Linked DNA regions of Rattus norvegicus. The protein of the gene in region 1 purifies or fractionates together with the protein of each later gene. This does not show direct contact. Links are inferred from orthologs where the notes say so. Each region holds a gene or a part of one and is shown on either strand. Other genes may lie near its edges.

Region 1 (6,970 bases):
AGTTTGTGATGGGGTGGGGGTGGGGGTGGGGTGAGGCGGGAGAAGTTCCAAAACATCATTTTAGGTATTAACCAAAAGAAAAAGAGAAATCTATATGACTCATTTTGAATGATCAAAGAAGATAAACATTAACTGTCAAATTTAAACAAGCACAGAACAATAAATGCTAGTGATGTTTTTGTACTGAATTCTGGACTACCACCAAATTCAATTTCCAATCTGCAGGATCTTGTTCTATACTAACACCTGGTTCTATGTCTCTCACTCCACCCTTAATAAGTGATGGTGGAATGTGGTCAGTACAGCCATTTCCCATTTCCCAGTAGTGATTAAAATATACAATGTACAGTCTTCACCTAGCAACTAGTAATTTAGCTCTAAAGATCAAATAAAAAAGTACTGACTACAAACATCTGATGGTTTCAGCTGCAATGACTCTAACCCAGGATACCTTAAACTACTCCTGATCTTCCTAGTTAAACCTGAAGTTGACATTTCAACTCCTGGTCCTCGTGCCAACAACCAAATGTTAGAATTATAGGCATTAAAAAAAAAAAATCCAGATAGCCAAATGGCAAGCTAAAGTATAATTTTTTTGTTTGAACAGTTATCTAAGTGAACAACTAAAACCATTTTACAACAGAAAAACACACACAATATATGCATATAGATGTACCACCATACATCTAAAAATCTAAGTGAAAATCTATTCCTATAGCTTTTTTGGTTTAGAAACTGAAGCCAGATTAAGGACCTACATTCCACAAGTGGAGCTTCATAACTCACTACACATATTACTACACTTCATGTGCGCCTGTCTTAGGCAGGTGAAGAAAACGATGAGACCAAGCAATCTGCTGTCTCGACTCCCATCACAGTTCCCTTATGGCCAATCTGCACTCACCAATAGAGTATACATACCCTAAGTTCTTCTATTCTACTTTTATTTTTAGATAAATGTCACTATGATGGTTTTGAATAAAAATGGGCTCCATAGACTCATGTGTGGCCTTATTGGAGGAAGTATGTCACTGTGGGGACGGACGGGCTTTGAGTTCTTGTATGATCAAGCTCTGCCCAATATGGCACACAGTTCCATTCTGCTGCCTGCTGGTCAAAATGTAGAACTTTCCAGCACTGTGTCTGCCTGCAGGCTTCCTGCCATAATGACAAGGGACTGAACCTCTGAAACTGTACGCCACCCCTAATTAAATACTTTCCTTTGTAACAGATGTCTTAGTCACGGTGTTTCTCTTCATAGCAATAGAAATCCAAACTAAGACAATCACACAACAAGTTCAAACACTTCTCTTGCCTGTCTTTAAGTTTTATGTTTAGCCCATTATTCACCTGTCTCTTAAGTTTACTTTCTCTTCTTGATATGCTGGTCTTACTATTGATCAAACTTCTGCCCTGACACCAAGAAATGAACAAAAACACCTAAACCATCAGGAGACACAAACCTGGTAGTTAGGATTGTCAATCATAGGAGGCTTCCATTTGCCCTTATAATTGGGGTTGTCAATCATAGGTCGCTGCCAGACACCACACCCAGGGGCGGACTCACACTTAGGGTTGGCAATCTGAGGAGCCTCCCATTCTCCGTCCATATCCTCATCCCTGTGGAGATATAAACAAGTTATATAGACAAACTGCTAGTCTTATGCTCTCAAGATGCCGTTAGAGCTGTATCAGCAGCATACAACAGAACAAATTCTCATTTCTCATTCCCAATATCAATGAGCTTTCATTAACAACCTACTTTGTTTTTGTACAGTGAAATTTCGTAAAGTTTTTGTAAGGCTTTTCACTCAAACCTGGGCTGTTGGCTTTTTTTCTTTTTCCTTTTGGTTTTAGTACAGGGTTTCTCTGGTACCCCTGGAAGTCAGCGATCCACCTGCCTGAGTGCTGAGATAAAGGCGGCTATTACTATACCCAGCTTCTTTCTTTTCTTTTGTTTTTTGTTTGGGGAGAGGGGCACGCAGTTATTGCTTTGATTTCAAGACAGGGTTTCTCTGTGCAGCAGCTTTGGCTGTCCTGAAACTAACTTTGTAGACTAGGTTAGGTTTGCCTCAATCTCAGAGATCTGCCTGCCTCTGCTAGGATTAAATGCCTGATTTTACTTACTTCTCTTCCAGATCCAGCTCCAACTGACTTGACACACTTAAGACAAACATGCAGACAAAACACCAAAGCACATAAAATAAAAATAAATTTTAAAAACAAAAAAAAAACAGGTAATTATAAAAGCAAACTCAAACTCACCAATCTTCTGGTTTCTCTGCATCAGGGTCTGGAATATACTCGGGTTCATCATCTAACCAGCCTTCAGGCTTTGTGGCCTCTTCATCTGGAATCTTAGAAGGGGCATCTTCATCCCTTAAAACAGAAAACACCAGGTATGATAACCCAGGCCAGAGAATCAGTCATGGTAGTCTTTTTTACAAACCAAGATTAATTCATTCTAAAATACATTTATAAATCATTATCTGAGCTACTGTCCAAAAGAAAAAAAGAAAAAGAACAAAGAAACAAATAAAAACAGCAGCTAAAGATCAAGTAAAGATTTTTCTAATGGAACTACAGGAATCTTCAAGAGTTACAAGAGAAGATGCTTAACCTCACTGGTCATCAGAGAAATATAAATTAAAACCATGGTAATATACCACACTATCAAACATCCACATAGAAGGCCATTACAATAAGACATTCTGAGGGGGGTTGGGGATTTAGCTCAGTGGTAGAGCGCTTGCCTAGCAAGCGTAAGGCCCTGGGTTCAGTCCCCAGCTCCGAGAAAAAAAAAAAAATTCTGAGGGAGGGCTGGAGAGATGGCTCAACGGTTAGAGCACTGACCACTCTTCCAGAGGTCCTGAGTTCAAATCCCAGCAACCACATGGTGGATCGCAACCATCTGTAATGGGATCAGATGCCCTCTTCTGGTATGTCTGAAGACAGCTATAGTATACCCAGATACAATAAACAAATAAATCTTTAAAAAAAAAAAAAAGAAATTCTGAGGGAAAACAAATAAAAAATAAGTGCTGGTGAAAAGAAAGGTTCAGTTCCTCAAAATTGGAAGTTACTGTATAACAATTTCATCCCAAAGTTTGTATCTGAAAAAGGGGCAACCACCTACACATCTATCAATTACGTGATGGTTAAATGGATAAGCATAGTATATTAAGTATTTCTCAGTCATAAAAATGTTTCAATATGTTGACCACAAGAAGCCAAAGGCCAAATATTATTATTCAATATTATTTCGATAAATTTCTCAATGGAGAAATCCAGAAACAGAAAACAGGCAGATGAGTGGTAGCCAGAGTCTGGGACAAGGGAGTGACAGTAGGGTACATGATAACACCCTACAATTAGATAGCACTGTACATAGAGCACTGCAGATACATTAACCATCACTGTGTTATGCACCACAAAAAAGGTACGCAAGATGGTCATGGCAGTATACAGCAATTTCAGCACTGTCAAGGCTGAGACAGAATCCTGATGAGATTAACCTAGATTACACAGAAAACAGCATTTTAAAAAAGGCGTGCATGGCCGAAAGGGGTGGGAGCGGGGCAGGGCATGGAGGTGGAGGTGGTATCTCATCTAAAATAAGACTCAGAGGAGCTAGAAAGATAGCTAGATGGTTAAGAGCACTGGCTGCTCTTTCAGGTGACCATAGTTTAAGTTCCAGTGCCTACATGGCAGGTTACAACCATTATAGCTCCAGTTTCCTCCTCTGGCCTCCTCAGGAACCAGGAATGAATGGTGCAGGGACCACTGTCATATAGAAGCTATAAAAGTACTACTTCAGCTGGTAATCAAAAATATTCTACTTGTGCTCAATTGTACTGTTTAGTGTCCTGGCACCGTACTCAAGGCCTCATGTCCTCTAACACTGAGAAATAACTCCCTCAAAAGAGACTGTTTTGTGACTATCTTAGTTTTAAATTAACTCTATGATGACCTCAAAGCTTCGTGTAACTTCGCCTGATATTTTAAAGTTCAATACTCTCTTCATCCCATTAAAAAAAAAGCTGGTGAGCTGGGCGTGGTGGTACAATGCTTTTAATCCCAGACCTTAGGAAGCAGAGAGATCTGTTAGTTCAGGGTCAGTCTAGTTCAAAGAAACCCAAGCCTACACAAGGAAACTGTCTCAAAAACAAAAATTTCAAGAACTTTAACAGCTTTCAATGTGGGTGGTAGGAGTGTTACTTAGCAATATAACACATGTTTTTAGTATGCAGGAGGACTTGGGTTAAATCCTTAGCACTGTAACCCAGTTTAACTGGCAATAATGAAACACTAGAATGGCTGTACAAAAAGATTGCCACAAGCTGACCCTGACCCTGTCAGCACAGACAAACCACAAAAGCTTTAGCACCCTGTAGTTTATAACCTAGTGAGGGATAATATATATTACCACTGTATTCTTTTCCATCAGAGTAATCGGTACTTTTCTCCTGTAAAATAGATTATGTAAGTTCCCTCTCCTCCTCTCCCCGCAAGCAAGCATAGGGTCTTACTATGTAGTCCACACTTACCTCACACTCAATCTTTCTGCCTTGGCCTCTTGAGTGCTAGGATTACAGGCATGTGCTAACATGCCTAGACTATATCACAGAGTATTTACATAATAGTATCTCACTTTATCAACATTTGTGGTTTAAGCCATGTAGAATACACACGTTGTAAACTAATATTCAAAGATGGATCTCCAAGATTTACCAGTCATCTGGCTTGACAGCATCTGGATCTGCTATTTTGGGCCTTTCATCCCAATCTTCAGGCTTCCGGTCTTCTGGGTCCTCAATTTCACGTGAAGGGTTTACCGGAGGGGTCATGTCATTTAGCAGGTTTCCACTGTTCACAACAGACTGGTCAACTAATATTTCAAAACTATTGTCTGGATTCAAGACTAAAAGAAATTAAATGCAATTAGAAATACTGACTAAACCACTCATTCCAACATTTCCATCAATCTAACACAGTAGATCATATCTTCTAGAGAGAGACCCAGTGGGTAGTCATGAAACAGAGTTCAGGGTACTTGGAGTTAGAATGTCATAGTCGGGGCTGGGGATTTAGCTCAGTGGTAGAGCGCTTACCTAGGAAGCGCAAGGCCCTGGGTTCGGTCCCCAGCTCCAAAAAAAAAGAACCAAAAAAAAAAAAAAAAAAAAAAAGTCATAGTCAACAAAGCCTAGTTCTGTAAGAGCCTAGGGCCCCAATGCCATTTCCTTGGGTTCCTAGAAGTTACAAATGATTTTTTTTTCTCTTTCTTTTCTTGGTTTTATTAAGACAGGGTTTCTGTCTTGCCTCAGCTGTCTTAAAGCTCTCTTTGTACATCAGGCTGGCCTTGAACTCACAGAGATCTACCTGCCTCTACAAATGATAAATAATAATAAGCTCAAACCCCAGGGTCTTGTACACACTGGACAAGCACTTTTACCCTGGTCCATGTCTATGAAAATAGTTAAAGGACCTGAATTAATGGCTCATTAATTAAGAGCTCTAACTGCTCTTCTAGAGGATGAGGACTCAATTCCAGGACTTAAATGGCTGCTCACAATCTTCTATAACTTCAGTTGCAAAAGATTTGATAAACTTTTCTGGTTTGTAGGGGCACCAAGCACACATATTGTATAAAGGCATACATGGATAAAAAATACCCATATATATAAATAGTAATTAAAAATAAATAAGGGCGTGAAAGATTACTTATTGGTTAAGAACACTGGTTGCGGGGTTGGGGATTTAGCTCAGCGGTAGAGCACTTGCCTAGCAAGCACAAGGCCCTGGGTTCGGTCCCCAGCTCCGAAAAAAAGAAAAAAAAAAAAAAAAAAGAACACTGGTTGCTTTTCCAAAGAACCCAGGCTCAATTTCTAGCAACCACAATGGTGGCTCACAACCATCTCTAACTTCAGTTCCAGCAGAGTAAACGCATGCATACACATGTGCGCGCGCTTTCTCTCTCTCTCTCTCTCTCTCTCTCTCTCTCTCTCTCTCACACACACACACACACACACACACACACACATACACACACACACACACAGGCAAGATGTAATTGTGCATACCTCTAATATCAGTACTTGCTAGGCAAACTAGTTTGAGGTCATATACAACAAGACCCTGCCTCAAAACAGCAATAAAGACCTACAAGGTAAGGAGGCATTCTCCTGTGATCTCAACACTACGGTGATAAGAGGTGATAGGAGGGTCATCAATTTTACTCTCAGCTATATAGGAGTTTAAGAATAAGGTAAGTAAAGAAAGAAAAAGAAAAAGCATTTTGTGTAATGGTACATGCCTTTAATCTCAGCACTTGGGTAGCAGAGGCAGGCAGATCTGAGCTTGAGGCCAGCCTGACTATATAGAAAAATCTAGAACAGACATACCTGCATAGCAAGACCCTGTCACAAAATAACATTAGTTAATTTTAAATACAAATTGGTAAAACACTACAGCAGCAGATAAAGGCACGTGCCACACAATCCCAGTGCTCTGAGTTAGAGTCCAAGAACCCACATTAGGGCAGGAAAGAAACATCTTCAAAGTTGTCCTCTGACCTCCACATAATTACCCACAAACCACACTGACAGGATCTAGAGAAATGGCTCAGTGGTTGAGAACAGCAGCTGTTCTTCCACAAGACCCAGCTCAATTCTCAGCACCTACATGGTGGCTTACAACTGTATTTAAAATTCTACCTCTAGGGCATCAATATACTCTTCCTACATCTCAGCACCAGGCATGCAAGAGGTACACAGGCATACATGCAGACATATAACACACACGTTTCACTTGTGCTGGAGAGATGGCTCAGCAGTTAAGAGCACTGACTGCTCTTCCAGAGGTCCTGAGTTCAATTCCCAGCAACCACATGGTGACTCACAGCCATCTGTAATGGGATCCAATGCCCTCTTCTGGTGTGTCTGAAGACAGCTACAGTGTATTTGTATTTGTA
Region 2 (7,749 bases), on another chromosome or scaffold:
AAGTCAGGACTGGAACTCAAGCAGGTCAGGGAGCAGGAGCTGATGGCCATGGAGGGATGTTACTCACTGGCTTGCTTCCCCTGGCTTGCTCAGCTTGCTTTCTTATAGAATCCAAGACTACCAGCCCACAATGGGCCCTCCCACCCTTGATCACTAATTGAGAAAATGCCTTACAGCTGGATCTCATGGAAGCATTTCCTCAAGGGAAGCTCTTTTCTCTGTGATAACTCCAGCTCAAGTTGACACACTAAACCAGCCAGTACAGTATATGTTTTATTTATTTATTTATTTATTTATTTATTTATTTATTTATTTATTTATTTATAAAATAAACCATCTTCTCAGGTGCTTAAAATGACTTGTGCATCTGGGCAGTGATGGCTCATGCCTTTAATCCCAGCACTCTGGACACAGAGTCAGGTGGATCTCTGAGTTCGAGGCCAGCCTGGTCTACAAACTGAATTCCAGGACAGCCAGAGTTACATAGAGAAACGAACAAGGAGGAGGAGGAGATAAAGACAGAGGGAGGGTAAGAAAGATAGGAAATAAGGAAGGAAGGAAGGAAGGAAGGAAGGAAGGAAGGAAGGAAGGAAGGAAGGTAAAGTGCTATGTGCAACTTGTGAAAAATTAATAACATTATCGTGTTTCCTTTCAGGCTTCCCTTTAAGTAATTTTAGGGAATTAACAATGTATATAGTTTTGTACACTATTTTCTCCCTGTATACTGAAATGTAAATATTTTCCCATGGTGTGTGCTGTTTGAATAGTCCAACTATGATTTTATCACGATATAAGTGAATTAATTAGCCACTTTATTTAAACTTGGACATTTGGGTTGTGTCCAGAGTTTCCATATTAAAAATGAATGTGTAACGAACATCTTCCTAATGAAATCTTGGTCCTCATTCTAAGCAGGATGGATTCCTAGAAGTGGATTACTGGGACAAAAATTCTATTTCTAGAAGTGGGTTTCTTGAAAACACTTATGGTTAACAAAAGCTTATGCCAATGTTGGTGTATGGGAGCATGCTCAGTTTCCTGCCAGCATGCTATCCCTTTCTGCTCTTTATTCCCGTCCTATAGAAAGATGGCAGATGACAACGTTATTTCTGTGTATTTTTAAATTGCGAACAAACCTGAACATTTTATATGCTTTTATTCACCACTGATACTTCCTCATTTTTTTTCCATTATGACTAGAGGATTTTACTAATGATTTTCTTTTCTTTCTTTTTTTGCTACATGTCTGTGCGTGTGGTCTGTGTTTGAGTGTGCATGTGTGTGTGGGGGGTACATTTGGGTGGATGGCAGAGGTTGAAGTATATAGTGTCTTCCTTGATTACTCCCACCTCAGTATCAGGGCAAAGGAGAGTCTAGCCTGCCGCTCACTCTCCAGCTCTGGCATTAAAGGCTAGCTGCCAACCCCTCCTGGCTTTTCTATGGGTGCTGGGGATTGGAAATCTGGTCCTCACACTTGCATGCCAGTGTGTTTTGCCCACTAGGCCATTTCCCCAGTCCCTTAACGATTTTCCTATCAATTGAAATGAGCACTTCAAGACAGAATTCTTTTGCCCTATTAGTTTCAAATGAAAATATTTTTTCACGAGCTTGTTATTGTTTTAGAAATGTCTGCTGCTCACAGGACTCTGTGAAAGGGATAACTGGATTATAACTGTACCTGAGTGCTCTCAGTTTGAGCTTGTTTCATGATGATTAAGTTGAAGAGTTTTGACAAAAGATCTGGAGGGGCCGGTTTAGCTAATCCTAAATTTAGCTCTGGAGAAAAATGTGTGGGCTGGATATAAAGATTGTTTGGCTCATTACATTTTAAGAAGATGGGGTGGGGGGCAGCAGGGATTAAATCAGTCTTTGCCAAAATTTTTCAGAATTTAGCCAGTATTCAGCACAAATCTCTTGCATGTAAATAGTGGTGGTAAACTATGCACAGACAAACAGGATTCTATGGGAAAGTAGTGCTCTGGTCTGCAGATGGTTGCATGGCTTGGTTTTAATTACTCTCCTTTTTCTTCTGTTACCCTCCCTCAATTACAATTTAAAGGGTGGGGTACAGCCAGATTAGGTCTCTGAAAAATAGGTGCAATTCTTGTTCCATAGAGGCCTGCTCCCAGGTAACCTGTTGGCATACCAGAGGCCTAGGTATCTCAAAAGATAAAACCTAGCATCCTTCCAAACTCCAGCATTTATCAGGGACTATGCTCAGGGTTACCATGACTCCAAAGGTAGTTTCCACAAACTTCAGATAGAAGAATGCTGTCAAGCAGAGAAACTTTCAACATTATTCTGGTATTTTTATAGAAAAAAAAGCTCAACAACAGAATGTCAGTGGCTGATTGCTGATGCCTTGTGACTAAGCATAATCGATGATTGCAAAAGGGAAAAAAAAAAGAACAAACTCAAATCTGGCTATCTGAGCTCCACGTTTTAAAGTGTTGGCAGGCCTGTTACCTGACTGGCAGTACTTCGGGTGTTAGTTAGTTCTGCAGCTTTGGGGCAAGAATTGGAGGAGAACCATCCCAAAATGGATATTTGAGTAGTCTAGGTCTGTAAGATGAAAAGGAGTTGAAGGCCTGATTTTTGAGTATCCTAAAACAGCTTCCTGGCTCTAAGGGTTCGGCCAGGAGAGAGACTATAGGGGCTTTAAAATGGAAGCAAAGCAACAGAAATGCGACCCCATTTTAACAAAGGAGCAGGCCCCCAGGAGCAAGCCCTAGAGGCAAGGCTCTCCCACAGGGTCGGCTGGAAGCTACCCACTGTACCCAGGAGACTGAACTGTGTGTCTGTGAACTGCACTACGCTCAGAGCGAGCCGTGAAACCGCGGAACAGGCCCAGCAGGTAGAACGGAGAGGTGGGCTGGGCTCCGTGGCCCACAATGACAGAGCTTTTGAGGGAGAAAGGCCAAGACCCCAGGCTAAGGAGCCTAAGCTGAGGTCGAGACTGCGGGAGCCAGCCCCAGCCAGTCCGAGCAGGGCGGGGCGCTTAGGTGGCCGCGAAGGCGTGGCGTAGAGGCTCCGCCCCTCGAGGCCCCGCCCCCTCTCGAGGCTTTTCTTGCAGAGCCACTGAACGCTGCGCGCCACTGTTCGCTTAGAGGGCGGAGGAAGCCGACTGTTCCGGATCTCTGCATAGCAGGGCCCAACCTTTGCTCCAGAGATCATGGCTGCCGAGGATGTGGTGGCGACTGGCGCCGACCCCAGCGAGCTGGAGGGCGGCGGGCTGCTTCAAGAGATTTTCACGTCGCCTCTCAACCTGCTGCTCCTTGGCCTCTGCATCTTCCTGCTCTACAAGATCGTTCGCGGGGACCAGCCCGGTGCCAGTGGGGACAACGACGACGACGAGCCGCCCCCGCTGCCCCGCCTCAAGCCGCGTGACTTCACCCCTGCCGAACTAAGGCGATACGATGGAGTCCAGGACCCGCGCATTCTTATGGCCATCAACGGCAAGGTGTTCGACGTGACCAAAGGCCGCAAGTTCTATGGGCCGGGTACGGAGGCAGGGCCAGGGGGTCGTGGAGACAAAAGAGGGGACCCTGGCGTGGGAGCGGGGCGGGAGAGAGACCGAGGGAGGTGGGGCGCCCCCTTGGGAGGGTCGGAGGGAAGGCGGGGAGCTCCGGGAGCGTGCCCGGGGCAAGAGGAGCTGGGGGTGGGAGGTGCTTACGGGGGGATGGGATGCCCGAATGAGGCTGAAGCTTGGAAACCGCGGGTGGGAGGGACAGCAAGGCTCGAAGGCCCGGGATGTTGGTGAAGTTTTCGAAGGTAGCGGGCTTTGGGCTTTGGATTGGGGGTCCTGAAAAGACGGGGAGGTTTCGGGTTTGAAAAAAAAAAAAGGAAGGTGTCTCCAGAGAGGCCCAGACACTTGAGAAGACGTGGAGGCCGATGACGCCGAAGGAGCCATGGTGGAATGTAAGGGTGTGCAAAGAGAGAAAGTGGAGAAGGGGATTAGTGTCAGGTAAAGAAGCATTGTTCCTGGTGGAGAATGTGTGTGTGTGTGTGTGTGTGTGTGTGTGTGTGTGTGTGTGTTACACTGTGCATGCGCAGTGAGTGTGTTTGGTGTACACCGTTTGGTGGGGGGGGTGCTTGGAATGTGACATGTGTTAGGTATGCCTTTGGTATGTGTTATATGCTTGTTATGTGGAGTGCACTGAGGCTGGATGATGACCAAGCAAACAAGCTTGATGGAGGGAAGGAGACTAGTTGAGGATGCATTAAGAAGAGCAGAGTGTGATGGACCATGGTAAGATGGTGAGATGGTCAGAAACATCATATTTAGTGTTGGGTTAGGGTGGGGAGACTGGGAGGTGGAAAAAAATAAAATGAAATTAAACCAGGGGCCGGGTTGGAAGGGAGGGTTGAGAGGGTCCTAAGAAACAATAGGGTAAGGCCATGAAGCCCGATGGGTGGGGGGATTTCAGGAAAAGCCAACCAGGGGATAAACAAGGCATGGACCACTAGTGAACTGTGGGAAAGGATCCCTAAAGATGTTTTTCCAAACTGGATTGCCTATCACAATCACCTACCTGATGCTTGTGAAAAGATACACATTCTTGGCCTGACCAGCCATAGTCACACTTACCTCTCTGGGGGAGGGGAGAGAGCTAAAAAATAATCTATGTTTTAGTACTCTCCTGTGGGGAAATCAGCCAGGTTTGGAAAGCCCTGCTTTCTAGAACATTTAGAGGGGAAGAAGAGGTTTTCGCTCTTCCAATATGGATTCCTCTAAGCACTAGGAACTCAGGGGGTGTGTTCACATGCTCATTGGTCTGAGAGGGAAGGCTAGTCAGCACTAATCCAAACCAGACATACCCACTCCATTAAGTCTCCAAAGTCCAGCCAATCAAAATCACATGTGCAGAAGGCTTTTAGCGAACACTCGCCCTTCATTTCTGCTTTCAGACATTTTAGAAAATCTATTTTCTGTAGGCATGTAACTGCAAAACAATGGGAAAACTGCTTGTCACTGTACTCGCACATTATCCATAAATAATCGTGTAAATACCCATAATTATTAAGCTAAACTCTAAGGTAATCAACACAAAGGCATGAGGCATCGGCATATGGTTGTAGTTTGCAAAGTCATCACACGGATCCTCGGTGCTTTCAGAGAGCACGGCTGGAGGCCATTCCATTCTAACCAGGTAGGTTATAGTTTGCAGAGTCATCCTGAGGGACATGGCTGTGTATACAGGGATAGCTCCAACTAGGAGTCAACCTGCACTCTACATTCAAGCCTAGATGTTGTCTGTCACTGACCAGCTGTGTGATCTGGCGCAACACATTGCTGTCTCAAGGCCTCACTTCTGGGAAAATAAAAAGGCAAGCACACCCCAATGTGAGGAGCCCGAGTTGCTACTCTCCATTATTGAAAGGGCTCAGGAACACTAATGACATCATAGTGGAAATATTTTCTGGTACAGAGCACACCTAAAATCAAGTCATTTGGGTGTCTAGTACTATGTGCACAGCACCATTGTGGGTGCTATGGAGTAACAGTGTGAGTTTAACAACATAGAGCTCTGTTCACCAAGCATCTAATTAATATGCTTTGTAGTGAACAAAATCTATTCTCTAAAGACTTAATATTTGCCTTCGATCTTGTTTAAGTAGGCATTACCAGTCCAGGAACTGTAATTTCTAAAATGGTTAAGAGTCCAAACCAAAACAGTTTGCTTGTTTCCAAAAGCACGAGGTGCTACTCTTTCTGTTAGCAGTATACATTTAGTGAAAAGCCTGTGAATGCGTTTCTTTTTAAATCTTCTCTAGTGGCAGTATGCAATGAGGAATGAAAACAGCCCCCATTTTAGAATCTTAGTTGCATTTACAAGTTGATCCCAAGGGCTTGAAGTATGTCTCAGCAGTAGGGTGCTTTCCTAGAATATGCAAAGACTGAGTCCTACAGAAAAGGGATCATAAAATTGAATATGTTAGAAAAGCAGTTGGGTGGACTAAAGTTTCAGATCACCAGATAGTAACCAAATACCAGGCACTCTGCTAGTTGACATAATGATTTTAAGGTCAGAGTTGCTCTCCAGCCTACTTTTGGGAAAACGAGGCATTGTTTAAAGTACCCTGAATTCTTTTCATTTGCTTGTGCCATATTTAACTAACACTAAATAAACACTTTAGGTGAATTCAGAATGATCCACTGCTCTCAGACAAAACCTTGCTATGATGTTATACGTACATAATAGCATTTTCCAGGTTTTATGAGATTACTTGAAGGCACCGATTGCAGCCTTTTTCAGGGAAGATTTTAGTGTTTTCACCACTGTTGGTTCTTATTTGTATGCTTATACTTAAAAAAAAAAAACAGTTCAAACCTGATCTCCCTTGTTCTTATTGATTGACAGTAAAGGTTATATAACGTGGGTAGGTTTTTGAACCACTGACATTTGTAAAATCATTGCTCCTACAGAAGCCTTACGGTTCATGTCTTGAAACCAAAGATCATTTAAAGCACATCAGAATGTGTTGCTAAGGAAATGTTTTCATTTACACATTAGTGTTTAAGAAACCGTAACTTTTGACTGCCTTGGCTAAAGCACCTAGAATAGAGCTAACCTGTAGATACAAAGTCTGAGCTGAATTCTAAACCTTGATGATTATACACTCAAGGCCACCCCCGAATGAATCACTTATGCTTATATTAGCTATGTGCAGGACATAGGAGATTTCAAATGCTACACGTTTTAATTTCATTTTACTTATTGAAGTGACAGGAAGTCTGTCAACATCCTTTATGTAATGATCAAAGCATCAGTATACATGTAGCTTAAGAATGGAATAGGAAACCAGGAAGTGATATTCATTTAATCCCAGCACCCAGGAGGCAGAGGCAGAGGCAGATGGACCTCTGTGAATTTGAGGACAGCCAGAGCTACACGGAAATCCTGTCTCAAAAAACCCACCAAACAAAAAAGAATTAAAAGGAGGCTTTCAGTGTTGAAAGCAAGGAAGCCATCTTTTGCATGTGAGACACAGAGGTGTATATATCTAGTAAATATCTTTGGTTTCATTTTGTCTTTGAAGAGGGGCCATACGGGGTCTTTGCTGGAAGAGATGCATCCAGGGGCCTTGCCACATTTTGCCTGGACAAAGAAGCACTGAAGGATGAGTATGATGACCTTTCTGACCTCACTCCTGCCCAGCAGGAGACCCTGAATGACTGGGACTCTCAGTTCACCTGTAAGCATTTCATTATATTTTGCCTGGATCAAATTTACACCAGTAGTGCAGGTTTATGATCAAACACTAGTTATTACTAAGCACCCTGAAATTGGGCGCGTTTTGATTAGGTTCCTGAATCTTGGAGGGGTCAAGTTCGTGGCATAAAGGAATGGAGGCAGTGCTGAGTCACTTGCTGTGATGGCGTATCGAGTTTAGCTTGTCCTCTACACATACGAGCTTTTGATCTTGATGTGTGCATTTTTGCATGAAGGTATATAGATTCTATACTACTAGCATTTGAGCATGTAGGGGAAAGGACAGTGGCCCTTTTGCCTACAGGAAGAAGGATTTTCATAAGCCCTCTCGTCCCACTTACTGTTTAAAAGCAGCCCACAGCTCTCTTGAAGAATGGGAAACCTGTGTTCTGCCAAACAGCTTCTCATTGACTCTGATGTAGCCTAACTATAAATTAGGCCTCATCTATAAATGCTGCTTATAATCTGACCAGCAAACAATGGTGTCTGCATTGTTTGTTTTTTTTGTTTGTTTTTTTTTTCCGGAGCTGGGGAC
Region 3 (7,575 bases), on another chromosome or scaffold:
CACCCTGAGAGCCTTCTGAGAATCTGTGGAGACTAAGACGGGAATGAACTTTAGTGACTGACTCCCTATGGGCAACCAACCACTCAGGCCTCACCACAAAACTGTGTATAGAGGAGAGATAATTCTTACTATGCCACAGGGAAAGTGGGCGGGAGGGGTGTGTGTGTGTGTGTGTGTGTGTGTGTGTGTGTGTGTGTGTGTGTGTAGCTGTGGGGAAGGGGTGCCAAAAGGCCAATGAGTGTTGGAGTTAGGGAGTGAGTAGAAATCAGGCAGGTCCCATACCCATATCTAGAAAATGCTAGAATCACTAGGGTCTGTAAGTCTCCAAGGCTGGAGGCTTCATTCCGTGGCTCAACCCTTCAACCCACTTGGGCTCATTCATTTTCCTGTGTTTAAGCGGTCTTCTGAAGTGGCCCTGTGCAGGAGAACCTCCTGAGTTTATTAACAATGCAGATCCTTGGCCTGCCTCTAGAGGGGCTTTAGCAGGTGTCCCAGACCCAGACATCTGCACCTGAAAAACTGCAGTTTAAACGGACAGTTTTTGTTCTATTCTGACACAACTTATTTTCAGATCCGTAACTTGTGGAAATTTCCTCCTAATATCAGCAAGATGTAATTTAAAAATTGTCTGTTTCTCCTTCCCGTTCCTCGGTTCCCTAGTGAATGCACTTAGTTCCATGGAAAATGTCCTGGACTCGGAAGTGTGTCACAGGAAAAAAGAATCCTCGTGCTGCTCGGTACAGGCTTCATATGGCAAAGCATTGGGTTAGATTCAAGGTTAACATCATGCAAGGGGGCTGGGCGAAGTAAATGGCATTAACTAAATATTTACTGCATCCCAGCACTGCTCCAGACACATTATGTCACCAAGGAACCCTGGACTTGCGTTTTAGTCCCATTTATGAGCGGGATGGGTGCTTTTAATATTTGCTACCCATTAAAGATAACCAGAGGAAAAAATTCCTATGAGATTAATTATTCATGCATAGAATAAAAACTCTCTTGAGATCTTATGCAAGGCACAGACTAGATCAGAAAAAGAAGAGGGGAGGGGCATCTTGGCATGTGGCTGTAACCCCAGCCCTGGGGGAGGGGAGGTGGGAGACTAAGGCAGGAGGATTCCAAATTTCAGTCTAGCCTGAGATCCTGTCTGTAAAAAACAAGGGCTGGGGGCCGGGGCCATGGGTGAATAGTTAAGAGACTGCTCTGGCAGAGGAAGTGGTTCTGTTCTTAGCATTCTTGTCGGGTAGCCCACAACCACCTGCAACTCCAGTTCCAAGTAATTGGACGCCCTCTTCTGGACTCCACAAGCACTACATGCACGTGGTGCACATAGGAGCTGGACCCAATCTTTAAAAAAATAACAAGAACTGGGGCCGTAGCTTATCAGTAGAGAGTATTTGCCTAGCTATTAGTAGAGTACTTGCCGAGGAAGTACAAGGCTTTGGGGGTGGGGGTGAGGCGGGGATAGGCACTGGAGATTTCGGGTGTGACAGCCCCTTTAAGTCTTTCAGAGAGATTGCCTTAGAAGCTAGTCAAATTTAGTCTCTGTAGCCTCGGTGCAGGGGAGCTAGGAACTGATCGTTCTGCAGTCCCAGAGAGCAGGCCTGTTCAGGTTCTGGCAGGTTAGGACTTGCTCAAGCGTGTCCTAGCTGGAGCCGAGAAGCAGTCTCAGACCCCAGCTCTAACCCCCACGGTTTGCTTTCATAAGCAGGATCAAACTCTTGGAGAGTGGCTGTAAAACAATTTACTAACAGATACTAGAGGCCGGCTGGTTCCTACTACCGAGCTTCATTTAATTCCGAGTTCAAATCATACAGAAAATAAAATTTTCTCCTTAAAAGGTTCTGCGGAAAAATGCTGTCGGTGCCATGCGGCCGCCTCCGTGACTGTGTTTGTGTCTGAAGAAAGGACTAGTCTGACAGGAAGAATTACAAATCTGGAGCTCATTTTGGCATCCCAGAGGGAAGGTGGGTGGAGCGTCTCACAGTAAATTAGGAATTCAGAATGAAAGCGGAGCTGAGTTTATTTGGGTTTTTAGTGACACCTCGAAATTATTACACAGGCGTGTCGGAGACAGCTCTAAGTACCTATGACTGCTCCCGCTTCGCCCCGAATCCCCCATCATTCAAAACCCGTAGGCCTCTCCGCTTCCACGCGGGGTCAGGAAGGTGGGAGGGAAGGAGAGCGGCGGGGACCCACAGTCTGTTTATACTGCCGAGAGACACAGGCCACTCAGGGGTGTGTCTGAGCTCCGCCTCGGGATTCAGAATCTGGGCTCCGACTTTGGGACTGGAATTTGAGGAGGGCAAGACTAGGTCTGGGGCGGCCATAGAGTGCGGGAAGAAATCGGGTTATCTTTGCGGGGAGGCTGGGAATTGAGGAGCGGGTCTAGGGAGAAGAAGTTGAACCGCGGACCGTATTGAGGGTCGGAGTGGCGATAGTTGAGCTTTGCCGGTGCAGGACTGTGCAGGGAAAGTCAGGGTGGGGTTGGAGTAGAAGAAAAGAGCGAGCAACGTCCACAGTCTTTCCCTGAGCAACTCTTACGGGCACACCCAGCGCTTAGTCCGGACTGCGGGCTCCCTCGGGCGCGCAGGCTGGACCCTGCCCCCACCCGCCGGTAGAGTACGAGCTACCCTGCTGTGGCTGGAGTATAGGCGCCCAGCGGTGAGGGGGCGTGGCCAGAGGCCCAGCAGTGCGGAGGCGTGGTTAGAGGCAGAAGTCCAGGGCCGCTCATTGGCCGCCCAGGGGCCCCGAGGGCGGGGCTCTCCGCTGGGTCCCTCTAGGGCGCTCGCGGGCGGCGGGGGAGGCGGGGTCGGCGGGAGCTGGGCAGCCAATGGGCGTGCGCCCCTCGAGCAGTTACAAAGGGCCGGAGCGAGGCCGCAGCGGCGGCGGGGAGGTGGGGCGAGGAGAGGCGAGGCTTGTTGAGGAGAAGCTGAGGCCGGGGCCGGGCCGGGCCACAAACAGTGGCAGCGGGACCATGGAGGCGGCGTCGGCTGCTTTGCGTCGCTGCCTGCTTCTCATCGTGTTGGTGGCGGCGGCGACGCTGCTCCCGGGGGCGAAGGGTGAGTGGCGGGCGGGTGGCTGTGGGGCGCGCGAGCCGGGCCCGGCCTCTGGCTCGCTTCAGCTCTTTCTCAAACATGGCGCGGGGCCGGGGGCGCAGGTGGCGGCGCCGGGCCGGCCGAGCTTTCCTGACCCGGCAGGCGCCACGCGAGCCGGGGCGGGGAGGAGAGGCGGGGCGGGGGCGGTGTCGAGCGCGGGTGGCCGAACACCGAGCGGAGGCCTGCCCTCTTGGGCTCCCGGGAGCAGCGGCTGGCGAGCCTGCTGAGGTCTGTGGCTGCCCTCGGGGGTGTGAGGCCGGCGGGGACCGTGGCCCCCTGATTCCACTGCCTAAGTGCTCTCCGGCCTGAGACTGTTAGGGCGTGGGCGGGCACCGGCGTGGAGGCGCTCCGGGGCTCGGCGCGTGGAGGGCTCCTCGGAGGGTCGTAAGGGGCGCCGTGGGCAGAGATCCCGGGTGGGCCGCACTGCTGTGAGTGTCGGCGCCCGCCTAGGGCGACTTTTCTTCAACCGGGGGCTTTGTGTGAGAAGCAGGCGCGAAGATGCGCGGAATGTTCTCTCTTCGTGCGTCTGGGAAGAGTTGAGAGTTCAGTAACCAGAAGATTGCCTTGCTAGTAGAAACTTGAACGTTTGCTCACTCTGCAGACTTGGGATCGTTTGAATGGGAATGATTCTGTAGAATTGATCAAAGATTTCTTTTTCTCGACGGGATCGTTGCTTTGGGTGTATCGTTTCCTTAAGCAGTAGTCTTAAAATCAGACCTCTATGTAGCTGGCTTTTGAAGGGAAAATGTGTAGTTTTCCAAAATATTAAAACCGGCCGTGATACGGTTGTCACCCCGTGGAGGGAAGATTGAAAAACTTAGTCCGGAACCGATTAAAATAGGAGAAAGCAAAATACTGAGGCTCAGATTAGCAACTAAAATACAGTGAAAATACATGTCTGTTGCTGAAATTGGATAACATTTTAAAAAGCAAAGCATACCAAAACAAAAATCTCTCCAGACTGTGGATGCCAGCTGTTATTAAACTTAATAGTAACTGTTTATTGGGAGTTGATTATAATGCAGATGTAAAAGGCACAGTATCTCGGGGCACAGAACCCTCGGGGCTACCAGTACTTGTCCTGTACATTGACTTGAAAACTGAGGTGCAGGAGATTACGTTCTTAGTAAGTGCAGAAATTAATTTGTACTTAGGCCTTTCTGGGCTCAAAATCAGTGCACCTGCTATACCGTAGCATAGCCCACTTAAAGAACAGTTGATATTTGACACTTAGAACTTAGCCATCAGTTTCTTAGTTTACTTGAACTTGAACAACCTAGTACTTGAACATTCCCTTCACAAAGGTCTTCATTAGAAGATACCATGGGTTTTTGACATTGGCTTAGGAAGGGAATAACGGTGGACAAAGTGGGGGAATTGTTATAATTATTCACCAACTATAAGTGGCCATATCTCTACAATTATTTGAATAAAGTAATTCTTTTCTACCTAAAACAAAGCAAGACACGTTCATGCATTTAGCAGTATTGACTTAGATGCTGAGAAGGTTGGTCCGTGTCCTGGAGGATTTTATTACTCAAAACCTAGACTAGTACTTCATAAACTTTCCCCGTTTGCCATCCTCTTTTCTCAAAAGATTGTACGTGACCTTGAGTACAAAATGTAGAAAGCAAGTATATAATTCAGATGTGCTGATAATAGATCATAAATGAAATTATTTTAAAACAATTCATTGGTACATACAATTTTACTATTTATTAAAGATTCAAGCACATTTTCATAGTAATGAGATGGGTGAGTTTATTTTTACTTAAAGAATTAAATCATCCAATGCCAACGACTCCATATAATTGTTTAGGGCCATTTCAGACATTGTTGAAAATTCTCTCTTAATCACAAGATGAAATTTATTTAATAATTTTTTATTTATATAAGTATGCTGTAGCTGTCTTCAGACACACCAGAAGAGGGCATCAGATCTTATTACAGATGGCTGTGAGCTACCATGTGGTTGCTGGGAATTGAACTCAGGACCTCTGGAAGGGCAGTCGATGCCCTTAACCACTGAGCCGTCTCTCCAGACCTCATTTAATAATTTTTAAAATGAAATTTAAGTCAGCAACTTAAACAGCAGTTTTTAAAATCAGACATTCTAACACAATACAGTCGATCTACAATCGATCACAAATATACCACTTTGATATACATGAAGGATGAAAGCCTTTTCTGTATGTATGTTTCTGGAAGAATAGAAAACTTTTTATTTAATAAAAAACATTAAAACTTATAAAAATAAATGTTAGCACTGCATAACACGACAGCAAGTGTGTTTAGAACCAAGGGTGTTGTGAAGTTGCATCATGTAACACAAGCATGCATTGCCAGAAACACTTCAGATTCATTACTCATTTGATTTTTAATTAATTTGGAGTGTTATACATTCAGAAGTCCTTGAGTATTGCCAGATTGTTGTATGACCCAGCACCTCTATAAGGAGTTAGGATTCAGTTTAAGAAGCTATGGCCTCTTGGTCCTGTGAAGGCTGGATGCCCCAGTGTTGTAGGGGAATGCCAGGGTGGGAAGGCAGGAGGGGAGCGGGTGGGTGGGGAGCACCCTCATAGAAGCAGGGGGAGGGAGGATGGGATAGGGAGTTTCCAAAGGGGAAGCCAGGAAAGGGGATAACATTTGAAATGTAAATAAAAAAGTATCCAATAAAAGAAAAGAAAAAAAAGAAGCTATGACCTGCTGGGCCTTGTGACTCATGCCTTTAAACTAAGCACTCAAGAAGCAGAGGCAGACAGATTCTGGTCTATATAGTGAGTTCTAGGACATCCAGAACTATAGAATATAGAGGCTTTATCTCAACCCCACTCCCACCCCCCCAAAAAATAGGAAGCTAGACCTAGATAAGTTCACCTTGACTCACTGAGTTAGGTTGATGTTTCAGTGTGGCCCTTTATATATTCTGAAGAAGTGCAGATCTTCTCTTAAAACTTGAAGTTGTTCTTTACTGTCTGAGTGTTATTTATATTTCTCTGCTAGCTTCTGTTTTCTCCAATATAGATCTTTGTAGAGAAATTGGTTCCTTATCCCTGGACAAGTATACAATATTACTCTGTTTATATTGCATCACGTGTTAGAATGCTGTTTGCTGCCAGCAATTTCAGGATTTTCTTGGAGAAAATGCCTAACATCTTTCCCCACTCCTGCTGAGCAACTCCCAGCTTAGCGCTGCCAGTTATCCCTAAGTATATGTGTTCTGTCATGGGGGGTTTTGTATTAACAGATGCCAAACTATCCTGGACTGTCCATGAGGTTTGAAGGTTTCCTGTGTGAGGTTAGGAATTAGAATTATTCCACTTGAAAGATGTCTCAGGACTGCAAACTCCCGTTTCTAATGATAGCTGCTTTCCCACTAGTTCCTGACTCTTCAGTCTTTGCTGCATACTTTATTTTATCTCTTTTATGGGAATTTGAGGACAGACAGACCTCAGACTTGACATTGTACCTCTCTTTGAACTCCATCTCTTGGAACTGTATAGCATTACATGTTTGTGTTATCCATTGTCACCCTCCTGAATTGTTAACTATTTGAGTTTGTATTGAGTTTTCAGGGGCGAATTATGCCTTTATGTCTTCAGAACCTACTACCTTGTCTTAGATTCTGTTCTACATAAATGTGTGTTAAGTGAATTCTGTGTGAATAGTTATATTTATGGATGGATTATGCTATGTTGATTTAGAGTTGTGTGTGTGTATATATATATATACACATACATACATACATACATACATACATACATACATACATATATAGTTTGAGAAAGTTGCATGGTGTGGCAACAAAACAGCTATTTTATGATACTTGGTTTGTATAATTCTTGAGATTTTAGAAATTAGAGGAGAAAGGTATGTGTATTTAAATTTGAAGAAATTCTGGTTTTTAACAATGAATAGGCCTTGTGTATAACCACTGCCCATTAGGCTGCTTATGTTTTGATTGTTCAGACACCTTTTCTGAATGGCTAGTGCCCTTATAGTGCCTTTTGTTAAGTGTTTTAAATAATCACCTTTTGTGGAGAAGCATATTAGAGTTTGATGGGAAGTGGTAATACAGACTGAGGTAACTGGAGAGAGCTTTTGGACTCATTCTGACTAAATGATTTTGAAGGGTCTCTAGAACTTTGAGAGGCAGAGAGGACGGTTCGATAATTTTTTTTAAAAGTTCTTGTCTTTATTTTCTCAATAACCTCATGGCAAGCCAAATGATTCTTTACTTTAGTAAAGTAAATTTATTATAGTATATTATTTAGATAATATATGTATTAACTTATATTATCTTTTCCCCAGTTCTAAACACTGTAATATGTGCCTGTGAGACAGAATGGTAATGTAAGTGAGTAAAGCAAGGGAATAAGATAGTGGGATGCTCACAAATGCTGGCCTCTTCAGTGGGATCATAGGTGTGCCATCATTTCTGTTTACCATAGAGAATCCTCCGAGTAACTGAATG

The links.
Region 2: the proteins of Canx (region 1) and Pgrmc1 purify together in Homo sapiens (affinity purification with mass spectrometry; 3 studies listed by BioGRID and IntAct, with this or other methods). This does not show direct contact. The link is inferred for Rattus norvegicus from reciprocal best matches to the Homo sapiens genes CANX and PGRMC1.
Region 3: the proteins of Canx (region 1) and Tgfbr1 purify together in Homo sapiens (affinity purification with mass spectrometry; 3 studies listed by BioGRID and IntAct, with this or other methods). This does not show direct contact. The link is inferred for Rattus norvegicus from reciprocal best matches to the Homo sapiens genes CANX and TGFBR1.

Annotation. Positions count from the first base shown.
Region 1 is NC_086028.1:35,131,577-35,138,546, forward strand, and holds part of Canx (calnexin precursor), read right to left. Parts: intron 4,922-6,970; coding exon 4,732-4,921; intron 2,380-4,731; coding exon 2,266-2,379; intron 1,621-2,265; coding exon 1,464-1,620; intron 1-1,463. UniProt on the Homo sapiens protein: Calcium-binding protein that interacts with newly synthesized monoglucosylated glycoproteins in the endoplasmic reticulum. It may act in assisting protein assembly and/or in the retention within the ER of unassembled protein subunits.
Region 2 is NC_086039.1:120,695,538-120,703,286, forward strand, and holds the start of Pgrmc1 (membrane-associated progesterone receptor component 1), read left to right. Parts: upstream 1-3,072; 5' UTR 3,073-3,172; coding exon 3,173-3,500; intron 3,501-7,041; coding exon 7,042-7,197; intron 7,198-7,749. UniProt on the Homo sapiens protein: Component of a progesterone-binding protein complex. Binds progesterone. Has many reported cellular functions (heme homeostasis, interaction with CYPs). Required for the maintenance of uterine histoarchitecture and normal female reproductive lifespan.
Region 3 is NC_086023.1:66,446,500-66,454,074, forward strand, and holds the start of Tgfbr1 (TGF-beta receptor type-1 precursor), read left to right. Parts: upstream 1-2,898; 5' UTR 2,899-2,980; coding exon 2,981-3,065; intron 3,066-7,575. UniProt on the Homo sapiens protein: Transmembrane serine/threonine kinase forming with the TGF-beta type II serine/threonine kinase receptor, TGFBR2, the non-promiscuous receptor for the TGF-beta cytokines TGFB1, TGFB2 and TGFB3.